Drosophila melanogaster: one gene and its partners. The protein of the gene in region 1 interacts with the protein of each later gene in a pairwise test. Each region holds a gene or a part of one and is shown on either strand. Other genes may lie near its edges. The genes, in order: CG6126, Drsl5, sordd2 and Tsp42A.

The links.
Region 2: the proteins of CG6126 (region 1) and Drsl5 interact in a two-hybrid assay, tested with the Drosophila melanogaster proteins (one large-scale study listed by BioGRID).
Region 3: the proteins of CG6126 (region 1) and sordd2 interact in a two-hybrid assay, tested with the Drosophila melanogaster proteins (one large-scale study listed by BioGRID).
Region 4: the proteins of CG6126 (region 1) and Tsp42A interact in a two-hybrid assay, tested with the Drosophila melanogaster proteins (one large-scale study listed by BioGRID).

Annotation. Positions count from the first base shown.
Region 1 is NT_033777.3:16,197,204-16,204,968, reverse strand, and holds CG6126 (uncharacterized protein), read left to right. Parts: upstream 1-1,885; 5' UTR 1,886-2,135; coding exon 2,136-2,178; intron 2,179-5,074; coding exon 5,075-5,709; intron 5,710-5,771; coding exon 5,772-6,761; 3' UTR 6,762-6,969; downstream 6,970-7,765. Other genes in the region: mtSSB (mitochondrial single stranded DNA-binding protein), read left to right, coding at 1-75, 433-655; CG31287 (uncharacterized protein), read right to left, coding at 755-961, 1,019-1,321, 1,376-1,534.
Region 2 is NT_037436.4:3,314,753-3,317,939, forward strand, and holds Drsl5 (Drosomycin-like 5), read left to right. Parts: upstream 1-2,028; 5' UTR 2,029-2,082; coding exon 2,083-2,292; 3' UTR 2,293-2,392; downstream 2,393-3,187. Other genes in the region: Drsl3 (Drosomycin-like 3), read left to right, coding at 282-497; Drsl4 (Drosomycin-like 4), read left to right, coding at 885-1,100.
Region 3 is NC_004354.4:15,796,139-15,801,055, reverse strand, and holds sordd2 (suppression of retinal degeneration disease 1 upon overexpression 2), read left to right. Parts: upstream 1-1,893; 5' UTR 1,894-2,085; intron 2,086-2,784; 5' UTR 2,785-2,823; coding exon 2,824-3,389; intron 3,390-3,452; coding exon 3,453-3,619; intron 3,620-3,684; coding exon 3,685-3,803; 3' UTR 3,804-4,148; downstream 4,149-4,917. Other genes in the region: CG15602 (uncharacterized protein), read right to left, coding at 160-417, 483-960, 1,019-1,263, 1,335-1,382.
Region 4 is NT_033778.4:5,793,447-5,797,434, forward strand, and holds Tsp42A (tetraspanin 42A), read left to right. Parts: upstream 1-1,966; 5' UTR 1,967-2,026; coding exon 2,027-2,740; 3' UTR 2,741-2,880; exon of another isoform or gene 2,881-2,902; intron 2,903-2,938; 3' UTR 2,939-3,002; intron 3,003-3,063; 3' UTR 3,064-3,264; downstream 3,265-3,988. Other genes in the region: Or42b (odorant receptor 42b), read right to left, coding at 3,749-3,823, 3,888-3,988.

The DNA of each region.
Region 1 (7,765 bases):
CGCCGATCCGCAGCTGCGTGGATCCCAGGAGCATCCGGTGGTCACCTTTTCGGTTGCTACACACACCAACTACAAGTAAGTGCATTTGTGTGCGTTTTGCCGCCCAGCATGCGTCTGCAACTGAACTTGAAATCACATCTCAGAGGAGGGAAATAAAAAAGCTACATAAATGTTGACAATTAAGTTAGTTCTTAGCCTTAACCTCCAAGAAAATATCACGTTGAGCTGCTAATTCAGATTTATGTAATGAGTTATTAGAACATTTGCTGTATGTAATTACCTAATGATAACGGCAATAGTGTACATTTCCTTGTTCAATTAACTTCAGTGATCAATTTCTTCTTAGGATCCATGAAATGCCGGATTTCATAAAGAAAATAGCTACCATTTCATTTAAAAAGCATTCATGAAGTCTTAAATATTTCCCCACAGATATGAGAACGGCGACTGGGCCCAACGCACCGACTGGCATCGTGTAGTGGTGTTCAAGCCCAATCTGCGTGACACCGTGCTGGAATACTTGAAGAAGGGACAGCGAACCATGGTGCAGGGAAAGATCACCTATGGAGAGATCACCGACCAGCAGGGCAACCAGAAGACTAGCACCAGTATCATAGCCGACGATGTGTTGTTTTTCCGTGATGCCAACAACTAAAATTTAAGCCCAGATCACCAAACCTAATCTTAAGCGAAAAGTTGAACTTGCAGCATTGTAAGCATTTATAATATTCGTTGGATATATTGTGTTATCAGATTACATGCGTAGTCGTACTCCACATGTGTCTTTTGGTTTTAACTCCTTGACCTTTTTGCATGGGAACGGTGCGTTGAATTGGCGTGCATGTTCGTTATAAAGCTGCTCGAACTCCTTTTGAACTTGTGTGACCTGGCTCTTCAATTTTTCGATATTTTTTTCCATAGACTCCAGTGTATTATTGTGGTAATCGATAAGCTTGGTTACCTGTTGATACACTCACTTTAGAAACTCTAAATACAACTTTTAGTCATCATTTCATACCAAATTTACGGAAGGTACTTTTGCGGATATCTGCTCATTATACGTCGCGACCTCCTCTTTGATCTGATTGCAATGATCGACTGTTTTTTTCGAAGACATCAGCATACTCAGCAAATCCTGATATGTGGTACTTGCCAAAGGAAACACTTGGCCTGCCAGACTCTCAGGACTCGGATAGCTCTGCTCCAATTTCGTAACTGCTTTCTCCGCCTGTATAAGGTTAATCTCGTTTTCATGCAGCTCCATTTCTACCCTAAGCATGGTGCACTTTACTGATCTCAGGGTATCATCGATGGGAAGTGCCTGTTGGAGTATGAAAAATTTATATCCTGTTTGCCTATGGCCATTGAGTCTCACATTTTTGGCATTGTCTAGGCAAATTTGTTCCTGTTCCTTAAGAAATTTTAACTTGGTATTGAAATCTGATTCCATTTCAAGGCTGTCCTGCATTAAAATATCCGCCAGCATATCCAAGTACAGGAATGTCGACGGATCTGATAAGTTTGGCTCACACATAATTTTAAAATTAACTTTAAATGAATTTTATGTATTTTTTGTATGTGTTTTTGTGACTTATGTTTTGTTTGTCACTGAGTGTTAGGCAAATCAAAGCTTGCTAAGGTATGAGTTTTCTGATCGTATTCTAATCTAAGGGATCCTTGCCAAGAGGCATCATTTATTTTCATACATCAAGGATTATAATGGTGATTACAGTTTTTGAAGCTCTTACCCTCGAGCAGAGTTTGCTCTTTAGTTCCCAACTTTGGAGACCTCCACAAGCTCTCTTCGCTCGCGAGCTTGGAGCGACCTTATCGCCATTTACCACTCAGTTTTCTCGCTGAGCGACACAGTTCGCAGTTAGTTTTTGCCAGTTCAAATGCTGCCGGCGGTCGGAAGAGTTGATAGCTGATCGAGCGCTCCGTTTGCGATTTTGTTTCACTCGAGCACGTTGTTTATCCCGGATTCGTTTTGCATCTTCGCGACCCGTAACTATCAGCAGTGCTGCACTGGTGTGCCATTCATACATGCTCCACTTCTGCAGAAGATGACGATTTGTTAAGAAGCAATAGCAAACAGTTACTTTCATTTATTTTTGATTATCAATAAAAAATCAAACATGGCTGTGGATTATGTACTGGAGGACCTGATGGGGAAACTTGGTGAGTGGAATGGGCTTTTGGGAGCGAAGACTTTTGAAAGGTCAGCTGTTACGTTGCCAGGCGTCTCCATCCCGTGCTGATAAGAGCCTGGCGTTATGCTTATCATTTTGAGAGGTCTTATCAGCGTTGCAAGCTACTATGGATAATATTTTGTTTCACGACGACCAATGAGGTTTACCGCCCAACCTTCTGTTCTGCTTTTAAAATCTATAATTAATTTTTCCGTATTATGCTTTTAATCTCCGCCTAATCTATCCGGCTGGCTGTCCGTCACGTCAAGTGCTCAAAAGAAGCCGACTATAATACTTTTTTAATTGCAACTATTTTCATTTTCATTTTGCACTATTCTTAATTTAATAAATCGTCGAGGCCACCAAGTGACAGACATTTATGACAGCTTGATAGAGACTCCGACCTGTTGCTCCCCTTTTGACTATATACCATACCAAGTATGTATTTATGTACACATATAGTCGACACATGTTCGTGTGGGCCAAGTTCTGAGCTGGAGGCTGTCTGACACTTGTTGAGCCTACTTGGCTTTAGCACAGTGACGCTAAAACGAGTGTGGCGGCTAACAGGCAAACAAAAATAAAACGGGTGCAAAAGGGGCGGTATCTGTCACAAGACTGTGAAGTAGGCTCGTCATAAAGATCTTGGGATCTACGGATATCTGGGTATTTGCTTATAATTTATTATATACTCTAATTGTGCGGTTCAAACATTGCAGCTAGCTTGTGGAAGCTACAAAATTAAGCGTGTTTATATGCAGTATGCAAAATAGTTAAGATTAATTGTGGGAATACAGTGGAAGATCGATGGATAAACAGTTTTATTTGTCACGGCTACAAATTAGAAATTTATGAGTCACATAAAATATGAGTTGGAATATAAAATTTGTGTCAACGATTGTGCTGAAATTGTCGTTAATTAAAATAGAACAGTTTTTTACAATCCGAAACTGGTTTTGTATTAAGCATTCGCAAAACCGCAGCCTATAAGAAAGTGACAGGAGAGAGGGAGTAATAATCGCATTAGCGACTTTTTTATTCGTAATATATTCGCATACATTTGTATCTGTGAAATGCAAAAAACCTTAAACTGGTTTGCTCACATTCAACTATATGGCAATACCTCCCTCAGCCATCAAAATTCACATATCGCTCTTTTATTTCTGTTTACTTTGTTGAAGGCCTATTGGCGAGCAGCAACTCTAATTACTTCGAATTTGGAGGCGTGTTGCATTGCTGAGTTGGTTGTTATTTGTACGTAAGAAGGTTACCATAAAACCAGCAACTTAAAATGACTTTGAGAGCACTTCCACACGTGCTATGTGGAGAGCACAGAACAGAACTAAATCGACCTTCAGTTGTTAGTAAACGCGGGAAGTGAAAATGTTGAAGTACGGATGAACAAAAACCGAAGGAAGCCTTAAAGTGGAGGTGTAAAACCATGATCTACCTCAATTATTCGAATCATGATACTTAAGCACAAAGGAAATTTTAAAAGCTTTGAAGAAATCAACTCTGAAATAAAGCAACAGTTGATAGTAGAATAACAGTAGATTAATATACATGTGCAATATTGTTAGAAATATGACTGCATTATTTTTTAATATTCCGTGTTCTTATCCATCTCACTTATCGCTCAAAAAGTTTGCCCAGAATAAACAACGGTCCAAACCTGCGCCATATTCATTTTAATGTGCAAACTGTTGGTTTTGTACATCATAATAGATGGCTTACGATTAAGAGAACAACAAACATTGACAGGGCCAAAAACAAATGTCGTATTCAAGGGCCACTTGGCAACAATTATACGGCTAGTTATATTGGACGGATGCAATAAATCTGAAGCAACAATATCACTGATATATGATCTAGCATTTGGTGGCCTCTGATAATCCGCTATGAGTTCCACATTAGTATTTACTATTACGAGTTTAGTTATCACAAATTTGGCCAATCGATTTCCTAGATTGTGCTCAATTATACGCTGATTATGTCTATTGGGGGCGTAATTGAATTTCATTAGGCGTAGAGTCAAATTTTATAATTGAGATTAATTAAGTCAACCCGATGACATAATTTTACACTTCACGCAATCGTTTTAATAATGAAAAATGAAAATTCTCAGACGTTTTACTCATGATTTGTCGATTGCAACGTAACCGGGGTGAACGTAACTTTTCATTTGATGGCAAGAGTTTCGTTTAAACGATCAATAAACGTAACCCACAAATCAATTGAAACGGCTGATTGAACATTGGACCGTGATCAAGTGTCAAATTCTCGTATCTAGGCTACATACTGTCCATGTCGTTAGAAATTTACACAGCCCCTGGCCTCCCATCAACGCGATCGCCATGGACTGACTGACCAGCCAAGTCATAATCGATTCAGTGCATTCTCCCAAGACATCCGAGTCTCTTTTCATGGCGTTCGAAACCAAAACCAAACCAAACCAAACTGTGGGCAAATATTTGACGGGCTAGGCGAATGCGCTTCAATTGAAATCGAATTGAATAAATTCCACTTGATTTAATTGCAAAGCCTTTGGAGTGACGACAATTCCAGCGATACCCATTAAAAGTTCCCATCTACATAAAAGTCGGCTGTTTCTTTGGGTTGTGTTTTTATCGCAGCTACGTGATGTTCAAATTCAAATACTGAAATAAAAAACCGTTTTAAATAATTTGAGCTAGAACAACTTCCGTTTTCAGCTCAACTTACTTTCTTTTTATTATATTTAATCGTAAACTGGGTGATTCATGGGTGCTACAGATTATCACTATCTATCATGTTGCTGAAAGCTCACATTTGTTGTGCGCTCATAACCTTTCCCAAGACATTAATGATTGTGAAATGTCTTTCTATTTTTTTCTATCCAATTGCAGGGGAGTTTGGAAAGTACCAGTTCCTGCAGTTCTTCCTGCAGGTGCTCTCCGGCCTGACCGCTGGCATGCACATGCTATCGCTGGTCACGGTGGCCGCCGTGCCTGAGCATCGCTGCTTCATCGAGGGCGTGGATAACAGCAGCTTGTCGGTGACACCATGGAACTCGAGCGCTATCCTGGCCGCCATTCCGCTGAAGCCCAATGGCGAGCTAGAGTCCTGCCTCATGTTCGATCCCAGTAGTCCTGGCACCAATACCACCATCAATTGCGAACGTTACGTATACGACACGACGTACTACAAGACTTCGCGCACCATCGACTGGAACTTTGTGTGCGATCGCCGCTGGATGGGAGCCATTGTGCAGACCGTGTTCATGCTGGGCGTGTTCACAGGCGCAGTCACCCTTGGCGGACTCGCCGACAAAGTGGGTCGGAAAACCGTGTTCTGCTGGTCGGCCCTGTTCCAATTGATCATCGGTGTGGGTGTGGCCTTCATTCCCGAGTACTTCTCATTCATGGTGGCTCGCTACCTGCTGGGCATTGTGGGATCAGCGGGTGCCTACATCTGTGGGTTCGTGCTGACCATGGAACTGGTGGGACCTACCAAGCGTACTGTGTGCGGCATTACCTTCCAGGTGAGGAAGACTTCAATAGATTTTGCATTTTTTAAACTGGCTATACCATGCAATACTTTTAGGCTGTTTTCGCTGGTGGCATCATGTTGGTGGCCGGATGGGGAGCACTCATCCCTGACCGCCAGTGGCTCCAAGTGATCTACGGACTGCATGGCTGTCTGTTCCTGGGCCACTGGTGGTGGCTCGATGAATCTCCGCGCTGGCTGTGGATGCAGGGACGTGCCGCCGAGGCGGTGGATATTGTGGCCAAGGGCCTGAGAATCAACGGATCGGGCATCCCGGTGGACAAGGAGTACTATGTGCAGAAAGCCAAACAGCAGGCGGCGGCCGAAGAAAAATCCAGCGCCGGATTGAGCGACCTCTTCCGCACGCCCAACTTGAGGATGAAGACTTTGAACGTGTGCCTCTGCTGGTTCGCCAATTCTCTGGTTTATTACGGACTATCGCTCAGTGCCGGCAAGCTGTATGGAAATCCCTACCTGATCCTGTTCATCATGGGCCTCGTGGAGTTCCCCAGCTACATAACCATTGTGTTCGTCCTAGATCGCCTGGGTCGTCGATCGATCACCTCCACCCTGATGTTGGGTGGCGGTCTATGCTGCATTGTGGCCGCCTACATTGCCCAGGGCAGCACCACCTCCACGGCGGTGGTAATGGCAGGAAAGCTCCTCATCGCCGGTTCCTTTGCCGTAATCTACAATTACTCAGCCGAACTGTTTCCCACCGTGGTGCGGAACTCGGCCATGGGATTGGGATCGATGTGTGCCCGTTTGTCGGGAGCCCTTACTCCGCTCATTACATTGCTGGACTCATTTGATCCGAAGATACCGGCCGTGCTGTTCGGCGTGGTGGCCCTGATCTCGGGCTTCTGGGTTATGTTCCTGCCGGAGACAATGAACCAGCCCATGCCCGAGTCCATTGAGGATGGAGAGAACTTCGGAAAGGGAGATACTTGGTTCAGTCAGTGTGCTGGTCGCAAAAAGCGCCAGAATAGCGTATATCCCGACGATCCGGAGCAAATGGTGCCGCTCAAGAACATCGAGAGCAAGTAGAACCTAGCCAAAGACGATTGTTTCCCAAGTCCAAAATCCAGCTTAAATTCCTTGTTACCCTGTGTTTTCTTGTTAAGAATTCTACTCTTCTGCCTAGTAGTAAGATTTAATAGTTTCTATTCATTCCAAGCGAATAAAACGATGTGCAGAATATGGGGAATCCTAATTTGTGGATTCACTCATTTCTGAGTGTCCCTTTGTTGTTTGTACGGATTTTTTCTTTTAATTTTTTCGGTGGTAAAATTTAGTTTAAAGGAAATTTAAATGCTTGACGAGCATTTTTACTGATTAGTGTTGTCTACTTTTAGGCTCTATCAATTTAGGCGCAGATTCATAGCTTGAATTTCAATTTTCTCTACGGTAAAACCAGTACACACCAAAAAATTATTTCCCAACTATTTCCAATTAAAGTTTATTCTCCGACCGACACAGCCAATTCGGGTTCGTCTGGCCTTGCAAAGTTTCAGTAATTTCCACTCAATTGCACTATCGAATTGCCAATTGCCGACAGGGATTTCCAATGTCAAATCCATAACCCATCGCTTCCCTTTGCTCCACATGATGTTTAACCCGCCAATTAAAGTTTGTTTAAAGAGAGAGTTTTGGTTTTTCGGTTTTTGTTTCTTGTTTGGTAATTCTTCATTTTGTTTTGTTTGGTACATTTGAGAACATTCATTTCGAATTTGAATATATTTTCAATTTAAATTTTAACTACACGTAGGCATATAGATTTATAAACGTATGTATGTGTATGCCGATATCTGATGCGATATCGTTACACGATTTCGCTGGCTTAGAATTACATTAACATTTACATAGATATAGTAGCTTTATATCTGGGATTTCGGATCGCGGTTCTCGGTAGCGCCTCTGTCAGCGATTTCCCGTCGAAGGTACACAGAGATATATGTAGATATTGTTAGCAGGTATTTGCGATGGCTTAACATCAATATTCTTACACATAGACACACTCAAATCGCGAGATAAACACATCTAGATGCGGT
Region 2 (3,187 bases), on another chromosome or scaffold:
ATCGAAAAGATAGCAATTCTAGGTAAATAACTTATTATGATAACGATGCATTTTTAAATCAATGAAGTTGACACATGGCACACATAAATCAAGTGTTTCTGGAAAACTAGGATTATATCGGTTATTGTTAGCTTGAATTTCCGAGAAGCTTATCGATTGCTACGATCAAATAAAAAATCTTAAAATCTGTATCTCTATATAAGCGTCCCCACGAGTGGTCGATGCCAAAAGTCTTTAAGAACTCAAGTAAAATTCCCGACTCGTTGAAAACATCAGTTGTCATGGTGCAGATGATATTCCTGTTTGCTATCCTTGCTGTAATGACCATTGTCCTAATGGAGGCCAACACTGTTTTGGCACGTGATTGCCTATCTGGAACTTTCGGAGGTCCTTGCTGGGCCTGGAGTGGAGAAAAGTGCCGCCGTCTCTGCATTGAGGAGGGACATGTCAGTGGACACTGCAGTGGCGCAATGAAGTGCTGGTGCGAAGGATGCTAGATCCACTGCAGTTCAAAAGTGCATGCTGTTTTTTTGTTTATTCTGAGCCAATAATAAATATACTGTACACCGCACAGTAAAAGGCACGTAAGCATTGCCTTTCAGGAGTTATCTCTTGATTTGATTTAATATGTATGTGGTAAGTATATTAAACAAAAAGGTGCATCAACATCAAGAAGGTATAGCAATTCTATCATCCCAAAATAGCGATGCGCGTTTTGTCGCGTAAAAGGCCCAAAAGTATGCCTTTCGAAAGTTATATTGCAGTTATTTGCATTTTCACCTTTATGCTAATCGGTTAATATACAAATTCTGTACCTATATAAGAGTGCAGTCGGACTCAAGAAACTCAAAAGTAAAGATTTTAACCAGAAGAACATTCTAATAATGGCTCAAATTAAAGGATTGTTTGCTCTCCTCGCTGTGGTGACCATTGTCCTAATGGTGGCCAACTCGGCTTCGGCCGTGGATTGCCCATCTGGAAGATTCAGTGGTCCTTGCTGGGCCTGGGATGGAGAGCAGTGCCGTCGCCTCTGCAGGGAGGAAGGACGTGTCAGTGGACACTGCAGTGCCAGTCTGAAGTGCTGGTGCGAACAATGCTGAGGATCCTCATCGTCCAATATGTTTGACACATATGTGTGTCATATGTTTTTTATTGTTTTGAAAAGAAAAATAAAGAATATACTTCACAGCAAATAATACAGTTTTATTTCTACTTAAAGAACGAATCCTTTTAAAATCATAAATTTACTTCGAAAATGAGATTTATAATGGAATGGAAGAAATAATTAAATGATAAATAATCAGAGTTAACTTCAATAGAAAGCTAAAATTCATTTAGAAAGAAGTGGAATATATAATTCAACTCATAATAAGCATTTAAGAAAAAAAAAGCATAGACTATTTCAGTCTTAACAAGAGTTGGAAAGGCCATTTTCATTTATGAACACAAATCTTCATTTACCAGCACCCATATCACTTTATGGGAAATAAAGATAATCTTGTCATGTTAATATTTCCAACAAATTATCAACCGTGTTACATCGAAAAGTGCAAGTTTGGTGTTTGAATCCGGTTCTGGGTTTTCCTAACAAACTCGACAGTTTTACAATTTATGAATAAATTTAATTAATGAAACTGGTTTAATTAGTTTCCTAGAAGTCTCGTGATAAATGGCACATTGCATAAAATCAATGTCGGCAGATTATTAATAAGCCATTTTTAATTTTCCATTAGAAAAACTACGCATTCTTACTCAACTGCTAACTGAGAAGATGGCAGTGAAACTTTTTAAAAAGAAAACGAAATTTCATGCGACTTTTCTTAGACACTTACCGTAATGATCATTATCTCGAAAGAGAATACTTTTTGAAGTCAGTTTTCGTTGTCTTATCAGCCCTAAAGTATGCCCTTCCATGAAATACAATTCAATAATTATCTCCAATTATCTGCCAATCAATTCCAGAAATACGACGAAGCTGGCAGAGAGATCCCGATCCCTATATAAAGCGGTTGCTGGGGGTTTGGACTCATAAATCAAGTTCGAATTGTTCCGACAGCAGCACTCTGATTCAAAACCGACAACATGCAGATCAAGTTCCTGTACCTCTTCCTGGCTGTGATGACCATCTTCATCCTGGGCGCCAAGGAAGCCGATGCCGACTGTCTCTCTGGAAGATACGGAGGACCCTGCGCCGTCTGGGACAACGAGACCTGTCGTCGGGTGTGCAAGGAGGAAGGACGATCCAGTGGCCACTGCAGTCCCAGTCTGAAGTGCTGGTGCGAGGGATGCTAGGCCATCCTTCAAGGCGCGTTGCTCTAAATTGCCGGAAAACTACTAAATGTTATAGTTTGTTGATAACTATAAATAAATATTAAATATATTATTGCAACGCAAATGATTATTTCGTACTGGTTCAACTGTGATACTAACTATGTGATACTAAGGTATTTAAATGTACGTACAAAGGACGGATAAGGATTGTTCCTTAAAAATGTTAATATTAACTGATGACGTACTCGAAAAGGTTTTCTTCTATTCTTATTCATTACAAAATATATGAATAAGTACATATAAATATATTCTCAATTAAAACTAGCTAACACCTTAATTCTCTGACTTAGTCTGTGAAGTATTGAAAATTTAACGATATTTTAAAATAATTTGTTTTTATTCAGATTGTAACATGCTTCAAATACTGCTTAAGTTATTCTATTTATAGGATGAATAATTGCAGAAAATAGAGCGCTGCGTACAGCGATACTATATGATGTAATCTGGATTATTTATCTCTCAAGAATGCTTACTGAAACTGTGGAAGTAGCTTGCAGGACAGCATGCATTACATAGATAGGTAAAACGCAGAATACTAAAATAATTAAATCTCTGGTTAGACTAGGAACTTCTGGGAAACCCAAGGGCGTGCACTTAATACAGATGTCACTCATCCATATTCCATAGTCTATTATTAAAGCAATTGCTTCAATTTATTTGCGTTAGATAGGGTCAAATATATTCAATGTATGCTCATGCGAATGTTTAATTGTTATCTACGAAACGGGTTTTAGTCGCTGACGATAAATAATCTTTAACTAAATTTATTTTTAGTCTGAGTAAAACACAACCAAGCCAAAAAACTCACCCTGTTAATTTAACTCCATTATCTTTCAATTGAAAAACCTTTGCCTTA
Region 3 (4,917 bases), on another chromosome or scaffold:
CCTACCTGTTTTAATTCACAACTGAAAGAGAAGCAACAATTATACTGCACAAATATGAGCGAGCTAGCACCACATAAATACAGACAATAGTAATGCATTTGCTGAAAACAATCTATAATTAAACAAAAATTTGCGTACAGTCAAGTAAACAATTAACAATTAGAAGTGATTTTCTTTAAGCTTTGGCGGAGCCGAATACTTTTCCTTAACGTGAGCACGGTACTCCTCGTCATCATCGTGGCACTCCTTATAGCATAGAGTGCAAAAGAGTTCCCCACCACATCCGTGGCATCGGAAGTCGGCGTCTTCGTTACAAATATTGCACCAGGGCAATTCTTCGGTGTTGCCGGGCGACTCAGTGTTAATTGGACTAATTTCACTCTCGGAAGGTTCTGGTAAGCGCGATTCTGCTACATACTGAATGGGAATACGAAAGTGATGATTTGGCTTAAAAAAAATAATGCTACTATATAAATGCGAACCTTTTTCAATATGTTCTGTAGAAGTGTCTCGTCATCCTCTTCGTTGTCCGCGATACTTTCCATCTGGGATCTCGATGGGCATGCATCGGAATCGACGGGTGTATCGCGCAGAGCTCGCAGACGTCTCTCAATGTCGGAAATTGAGTCATCCCTCTGCCTGCTGATATTTTGATCCAGTTGGGCTTCGTCAACGAATTGTGCGAGCAAGTCCCTCATTTTCTCCTGATCGTTTCTTTGGTCGGTGGACAGTAGCAGATCTTTCTTATCGTAGCTTTTCGTATGCGGCATCCCAGTGAGATTGGCCAGACGGGTGCGGATCTCATCATCGGTGGCATCAACTCGTTTATAGTCCTGCATTCGTTTGGTCAACTCACTGTCCAGGTTCTCATCAATATGATCCTTGTGATCTTTGGAATGTGGTGACGAACTGGAACTGGGAACCAATGCCTGTGGCAGCTCCTCCACAGGCAGGCTGTCGCTGCAATTAATCGAATTATAGTTTCAGAATCGGTGTTTTAATGTGGTATTTTACTTACTTGAATAGGGCATCGGCGCCATCTGAACTTTTGGATGGAGGAGCCAGGTTCATTTTGGTGACTAAGATCCCCGGCAAAGCATCACAGTCTATAACTTTCTCGGCATCGGCGCTCGCCTGGAGTTTGGATAGTTTGTCGTAGCATATGAGGCACACATTGTGCACCTTTCCTGCATGACGGGGCACGGGCATTGGTCTCTTCAAGCACTTGGAGCAGAATGAGTAGCCGCAGTTGGGGCATCCATACTAAAATTTCGGATTTAACACAATGTAAGTAGGTGATATATGTTGGTTTGCTTTGGTTTGATGGCACTTGCCTCCTTGCAGAATAGGCCATATTTGCGACCGCAGCCAAAGCAGCTCATTGCAACCAGAGTCACCAATGGAACATATAAATTGAAAAAGTTTCAAATTTCGTTTGCTTTGTTTTGAAAGAAGCCAGTTCTAATTAGGGATGGTGTACAGTGTACAGTGGGTGAGCTATCGATTACGACTTAAACGCATTAGCGTTCTAAAAATCAGCTGTTCCTTGTTTTGGTTTAGTCTAATATCAATATTATTAAATTCTTGAGCTTTGTTGTGACCAGATCGTTAGGAACTAGAGATAGTCGAGTGAGTCCTGGTATCGATTGTCCATGGCACACAACAGCTGTTAATGAATAGTATTTAGTCTTGTAAATGTATTTAGTAGTTTATTTTGTTTACAAATCAATCGAGGACTGATCACTGATCACTTTTCAAATGATTCATTGAGATCCGAGATTTTTCACCTAACTCGATAGTTATCTAACGCGAGCGTGGACTTTGGTCCGGTGGAGACGGGCTGTTATACAGGCAGCTATTTACCGATAGGGTAAAGGTCTATCGGCCTCGGTCAGGTATCGTCAGTGCAATTGTTTTGAGGTGCTAAGACGTCAATTGATTGACTTGTCCACACAATCAATTTAGCAACATTCTCTGATTCGGTTTAACAATACTTAGCACGGCAAGTAGAAGCAAACAGTGAGCGAAAACAAACAATAAAATGAGGGCAAACAAGTCAGGTTTTGCAAACAATACACTTACAATGTAAGTAATTTTGAGAAGTTATACTATTTGCTGTGCCACAGGAAGTTATATATAGTTTAATTAAGTTATAATGCGTTTAAACGCAATCCCTGGAACTCGATGTATATGAGCATATAATTCCCCTTGACTCCAATAGGAAGTGCTCCATGAAAACATTATGTGACATCTATACGTACTGTATAAATAAGCATATAATCGGTTCCAATGTACATATGTAACAGGTAGATGGAAACCTTCTAGCCCTATATACACGCGAGTGTTTGAGTGTGTAGATGTGTACATAAGTACGCACATAAGTCCAGGTACATATGCAGGTATACCGTCTTGTTTGCCAACGCAATTCAAACAAAATTTGACTTTTTTGTTTAATTTATGTGGGTGCAGCCAATGGGAATGTTCGGTGCATTATCCTTGAAGACTTGGTGGTAAATACGCCCTTTGGGCGGTTTTCGTAGCCATAAACACCACCCCATGGGGTCGGACAAATGCTGAATGCTGCGGAACTCGGGGGAAACCCCCTTCAAACTGCGCTTGAAGTATTTAATTAAATTAAGTCATATTCAAGAAAGTGCGGACCTTAGTTGTACACCAGAAATGGCCTAGGAAAATCATCTAAGCAATCTAGGCACTTGTCAATAGGGTGAACACAGACTTACTTAGCAAATTTGGGTTTCTAAATCATCCAACGTTACGTTGCAGCTTGAACGACTAAAACTTTACCCGCATCTTGGGCAAACCATGGAGGAACCGAAAAGTGTATCCACAGCGGAGCTTCCCAGCACATCAACCGGGGCATCGTCGTCCTCATCGACTTTGTCCAACAACGTGAGCTACGACAAGATAGCCTGGACTCGGGATATCACAGAACCCTTGGCTGAGGAGTCATCTACAAGTCAATTGCGCCCGCTGGGTACCTCGATTCCAACCAATTCGACGGCATCGGAACTGAAGAAGTCCAACACTTCGTATTCCTTTACTGGAGACTATCTATCTGGTGGCAATAAGGCCGATCTGAAGGGTGGCTATCCATTCGGCGGCACCGATACGGACACAAAAGCCAACGAAAAGGACAAGGAGAAGGAACATACCGCAGACGACTCACTCTACGAGTGCAACATATGCCTGGACACCGCCAAGGATGCTGTGGTCAGCATGTGCGGCCATCTGTTCTGCTGGCCGTGCCTGCATCAGTGGCTCCTGACGCGTCCCAATCGCAAACTCTGTCCCGTTTGTAAGGCTGCCGTTGATAAGGATAAGGTCATACCGCTGTACGGAAGAAATAGTACACACCAGGAAGATCCACGGTAGGTTTGAACCGCTTTCAACATGAGTATTTTTCAATAACCCAACTTATATGTGTTTTGCAGTAACAAAGTTCCACCACGCCCCGCTGGACAACGTACAGAACCAGATCCTGTTCCCGGGTTCCCTGGATTCGGATTCGGCGACGGATTTCACATGTCTTTCGGTATTGGAGCTTTTCCTTTCGGGTTCATAACATCTAGGCTCAACTTTTTCGAACCACGTCCACCTGGTAGGTTACATGCCATCTCAATAGTTCTGAGATTGACATTAAATAACATTTGCCCATGTATTTAGCTGATATTAGAAGGCTACACGAAGATGAACCCTGGGCCCTGTCAAAACTGTTCTGGCATTTTGTCGTTTTTGTGATATATGGGCTGCTCGTTCCAATAGTGCACGGATCATCCCGATAAGAAGAACCTATATTCAAATGTCAATGGAAAGCGTGCGAAGTAATCAAATAGCAGTATCCTCCAGTTAAATCAACAATATTGTTAAACTCGTTGGGCTATAGTCGTTGGTGTGATTAATTAACATAAATTGTTAGCATTCGGTTATAATTGTAATTTGAGGATTCGCAAAACAGAAGTGGATTGGGTCCCAAATTATTTCAAAAAGTCTGCAATACCCTACGACTTCAGCATAAAAAACTGAAATTTCGAAATAATTGGATCGTAATGATTTAATTCAAATGTAGATTTCAAAAATTGTATAAATTTATATTTTAAATTCTATAAAACATTAAAAACATTTATTTTAATTTATTTTCCGTGTAGATTATTATCGATGGGTGAAAAAAATCATTAAGTTTTTGCTTAACTTAAACTGCACAACATTCTTTTTAGGGATCAGGGATAACGTGAATTTCGAAGATGCTGAGGATATGGATGCATGTATGTACATGAAGATATCGGCTTATCTTGAGTATGAGATGTATGATATATGTACCTTCTACCGATCGCTCTAGAAGATCGCCTCCTTTAAGTGGGCCAGTTTGTTGGCAATGGAGGGGGACGCCTCATCACTGGCTCCATAATTGGCTGTGGTGATGCGCTCCACCTCCTGGGAATTGCCGATAAAGGATTCTGCTCCGTGCCAAGAAGCTCACTGCAACCAGAGTCACCAATGGAACATATAAATTGAAAAAGTTTTAAATTTCGTTTGCTTTGTTTTGAAAGAAGCCAGTTCTAATTAGGGATGGTCACGTGATTTCTGCACAGTGGGTGAGCTATCGATTACGACTTAAACGTTTATAGATGCATTAGCGTTGTACAAATCAGCTGTTCCTTGTTTTGGTTTAGTCTAATATCAATAAAATTATTGAATTCTTGACCTTTGTTGTGACCAGATCGTTAGGAACTAGAGATAGTCGAGTGAGTCCTGCTATCGATTGTCCATGGCACACAACAGCTGCTTATGAATAGTATTTAGTCTTGTAAATGTATTTAGTAGTTTATTTTGTTTACAAATCAATCGAGGACTGATCACTGATCACTTTTCAAAGGATTCATTGAGATCCGAGATTTT
Region 4 (3,988 bases), on another chromosome or scaffold:
GGAGTGCGAACGAGAAGTTTCAACATTTTTTAAAATATTTTGTAAATAGAAATTTGTGAGGAAACAAGAGAGAATGATCTAGTCGAGTTCCCCGACTATCAGATACCCGTTACTCAGCTAGTGTGATTGCAAACGCAAAAATGATATTGGGGAATAAAATTAGGAAAATTTTTCTCATTGGGCATTAAAGTGGGTGTGGCCAAAAAGTTGTTTGTCAAATCGGTTGAAATTAGTTAGATAAACAATAAAACGATAAAAGGGCAAAAAAAATTTTTTAAGTGTGAGGTTTGTTGACGTAAGGGGACAACACTTTTTTTTGGCAAATCGATAGAAATATGATAAGCTATCAAAGCATTTTTCATAAGTGTGGGCGTGGCAATTTTGGGTGATTTGTGGGCATTAGAGTGCGTGGCAACATGGGTCATCAAACTTGCGCTGCGTCTATGTCTCTAGAATCTGTACCTGCTTAACCTCAACCTTCTGGCATTTATGGTTCCAAAGATCTCGACCATATTATTGATCGGATCACTAGCCAAGTCAAACCATCCAAACTATCTGTCTGTCTCTATTTATGTTGTGATCTTGAAAACTATTGTATTAAAGCTGAAGACGTTTAGACTAAGCATACAGATTCTAATGACGCCAACGCTGTTCAAGTTTGTTTCCGAACGGTGTCATGCACAATTTTCCGTTGTTAACCGATTGCGATCAGTACTATGTATTGATTCGCTGCTAATGGAATGTACACGGTTTACGGTTCGTTTTAGTGTACCGGGGTACCAAGAGCTAAAAGTCCGGGAAAAGCCGAATGTCAAGAGTGAGACATTTGGAAACCCAAAGGCCGAGTCTGCTATTTTTTTAATGTATACATACCTGCACGTCCATATGCATACAATGGTTTTTATAGATGGAATTTGTAATTTAACAGTTTTAAGGGAGGAGCAAATAAAAGTATAGAAAGCCAAAGCGCAAGAAACGCGATTTATTGGTGGCATGGGATCACTTCAAAAAAACGTTTACAAATGCACGTGGACCAAGGAACTACTGCGATAAAGCTATAGAGTATTTCGATACCACACTATGTATCCGATGATACTACCATACCATATACACTCTGCAGCAGGAAATTCCCAATCGGTCAAATCATGAAGACTAATGAACTTATAACTTTAGCTTTTGAAAACATGTTGGATATTTTTTTTTAATTTTATTAGGCTTGTAAATTTCTATCGATGGGCCAAATATCTTTTTGTTACACCCACTCTAACTTCGTTTAATTGTTTGCCTTCCCAAATTTTATCGGTATACCAAAAACACTGGTCACGCCTCTCCCCCCACATTTTCCTAACGGTCCACTTTTTTAAACAATTTTTAAAATTTTTCTTTCTATCTATCGATATCCCAGAAAAATTATGAAATTTTGCGTTCGCATTCCCACTAGCTGAGTAACGGGTATCTGATAGTCGGGGAACTTGACTAAGCATTCTTTTTTGTTTTTCAAATACAGAGGTGGTCAAAAGTATTTACACAACGAACTATTTTTCAATTAGTTGACAATTCTTGTCAATTGAAAAAAAAGCACGTTGGGTAAATACTTTTGACCACCTCTGTATATAGTTAGGTAAGGATATTTCGCTTCGTCATGCTTTTTTTTTTGGTATATTCCTGTAAGCAGGGTTGACTTACGTCAAGTCACAAACATATTTTTCCCCTTTTTCGCGCCTCGTTCCGATTCTCGATAGGGCGCTATCTGCAACAGGTGCATAATTTCGTTTTCGAGAGAGGTAAACTCATTTGCACTTAAAGCCATGGCAACTAGTGTCATTGGTGGCAAAAGAGCTTGCAATCTAAATGTTTATATTACGAACTTGATTCGGGTCAAACTGGCTTAAATCAGCAGCGAAGCCAGGTGAAAATCGTCAGAACGACAGCAGGCAGAAGTCTCGTTACTTCAAAGTTAAACAACAGGAATTCGTGTTGCGCAACTGACGCGGCGCTTTCATCAACTGGAGCCTAACCCGGCGAAATGGCTAATCCGTTTCGCTGGTGTCGAGTGTCGCACGACTGCGTGTTCCAGATTAATGTGGTTCTGGTGGTGGTCGGAGTGATCTTTCTGCTTGACGTGCTCAGCCACCTTTATCTGAAGGCGGTCATGTTTCCAGGCCTTCGTCTATACCCGGTAGCCTTGCGCCCCTGGCTCTTTTGGGTGCGCGCTTTGACAATGGTTGCCTACATTTTGAACGCTGTTCTTGGGATTCACATGGCCCGACAACCCACCGTCTTGAAGTACGCTGGCTATATGCTCGTTGGAAGCGTGGTGTTGCTGTACACAATAAGCATCGGAGTGACTCGCTTCATGTACCGCAAAAGATTCGAGTTCTTTGCCGAGATGCTGGTGCTGCAGATGTGGGTGAGAGATAGACTTGGCAAGGTTGAAGTAGAGTTCGAGTGCTGCGGAAGGTCCAGCGTAGTTGACTACCAGACAGCATCGAGCAACCGCACCTGGCCCATTGGCTCTTGCTGCGGGAAGCAGAACTGCACCGGCTGCACTGCGAAGCTTAGCCAGTACCTGTGGACTATCGAGATGGATGTGGCAAGGGATAATATTATCGTATCCGTTCTCTTGTTTGTGGCGATGATCGTCATGGTTTTACACTTTAAAGATGTGCAATCGCTCGACGACACTAGTGATGTGGATGAGTCTTCAGAACTGGTAGACGACTCGGACGCCAAAGAATAAGCCCCATCCCATCTAGTCGTGCCGGTCCCAATTGCTTTTATATGGTCCCCCTCATTCAAGTACATAAATACTATTTTGAATGTGATATTACCCATGCCTTTAGGGCATATACAGTGTATATTTATTTTTTTGCGACAAAGGTAAATACACTGATTAGATCTGAAGCTATAAATTATGATCCTGAAATCTGAATTTCAGGTCGCCTGACCTAAACCGAAATGAAGGACTCAAGGTAGGTTAGGATGGTATTTTGCAACGCAATGTAAGTATATAGATAACATTTTGGCAGCAATATCGTAACAAAACCCAACATTTTTTCTAAGTTCTCATGAAAGGGCGTAAGAGTGGAGATAGGAAATCGATAGAAAGTGACAGTTCAAAATATTATAAAGAACAAGAGAGAATGCTGTAGTCGAGTTTCCCGACTATCAGTTACGTGTTACTCAGCTGGAAGTGGGAAGGAGAAATTTAAATTTTTTGGATTATCGGTAGAAATAGGGAAAAAATAGTAATAAATAATGAACAAAAATTCAAAATTGGTTTAAAAGTGTGGGCGTTTCAGAAATTTACAAGACTAATATAAATGTGAAAATATTTTTCAAAAGTGTGGGCTTTGCATTTTTGGGCGGTTTGATGATATGTATGCTAAATCTATTTTTATAGTGCCTGAGATCTCGACGTTCATACGGAGTACAATCCGGCGATCGACTCGGCGTTTGATCCTGATAAAGAATATATATACTTTATTCTACCTGTTACATACTTTTCAACGAATCTAGTATACCCTTTATCTCTACGAGTAATGAGTATAAAAATAAAATCGTTTCTCAAAAGTGTGTCCGCGGCAGTTTTGCGTGAAATCGCTAATAGAAGTCTTTATTTAGAGAATTCTAAAAAATTCCTATTTAAGCAAACATTTTGCAAATATATTGTTTGTGGGGGTCTCGTTTTAGGGAAGAACGGGGGTGCAGAGTATCCAATAAAGGACAAAAAAGGTATCCATCCACCTTAGTCCGTCTTAAATTTGTCAGCTATATTCATTTGCTTGGTAATGGTTATCACGGAGAAAGCAAACTTTGCCACCTAGTGATGGGGTAGAAAATGAGATACAATTCGAGGAGCATGTATTACAGTGGCGACCACTTACACTTATGTTGCTGCTCATGGATATCTGAAAGATACCGCCTGCAATGAAAACGATAGGCTGCTGCACGTTTTGGAGAAAATACAGTAGTGTTGTTTTGTAGC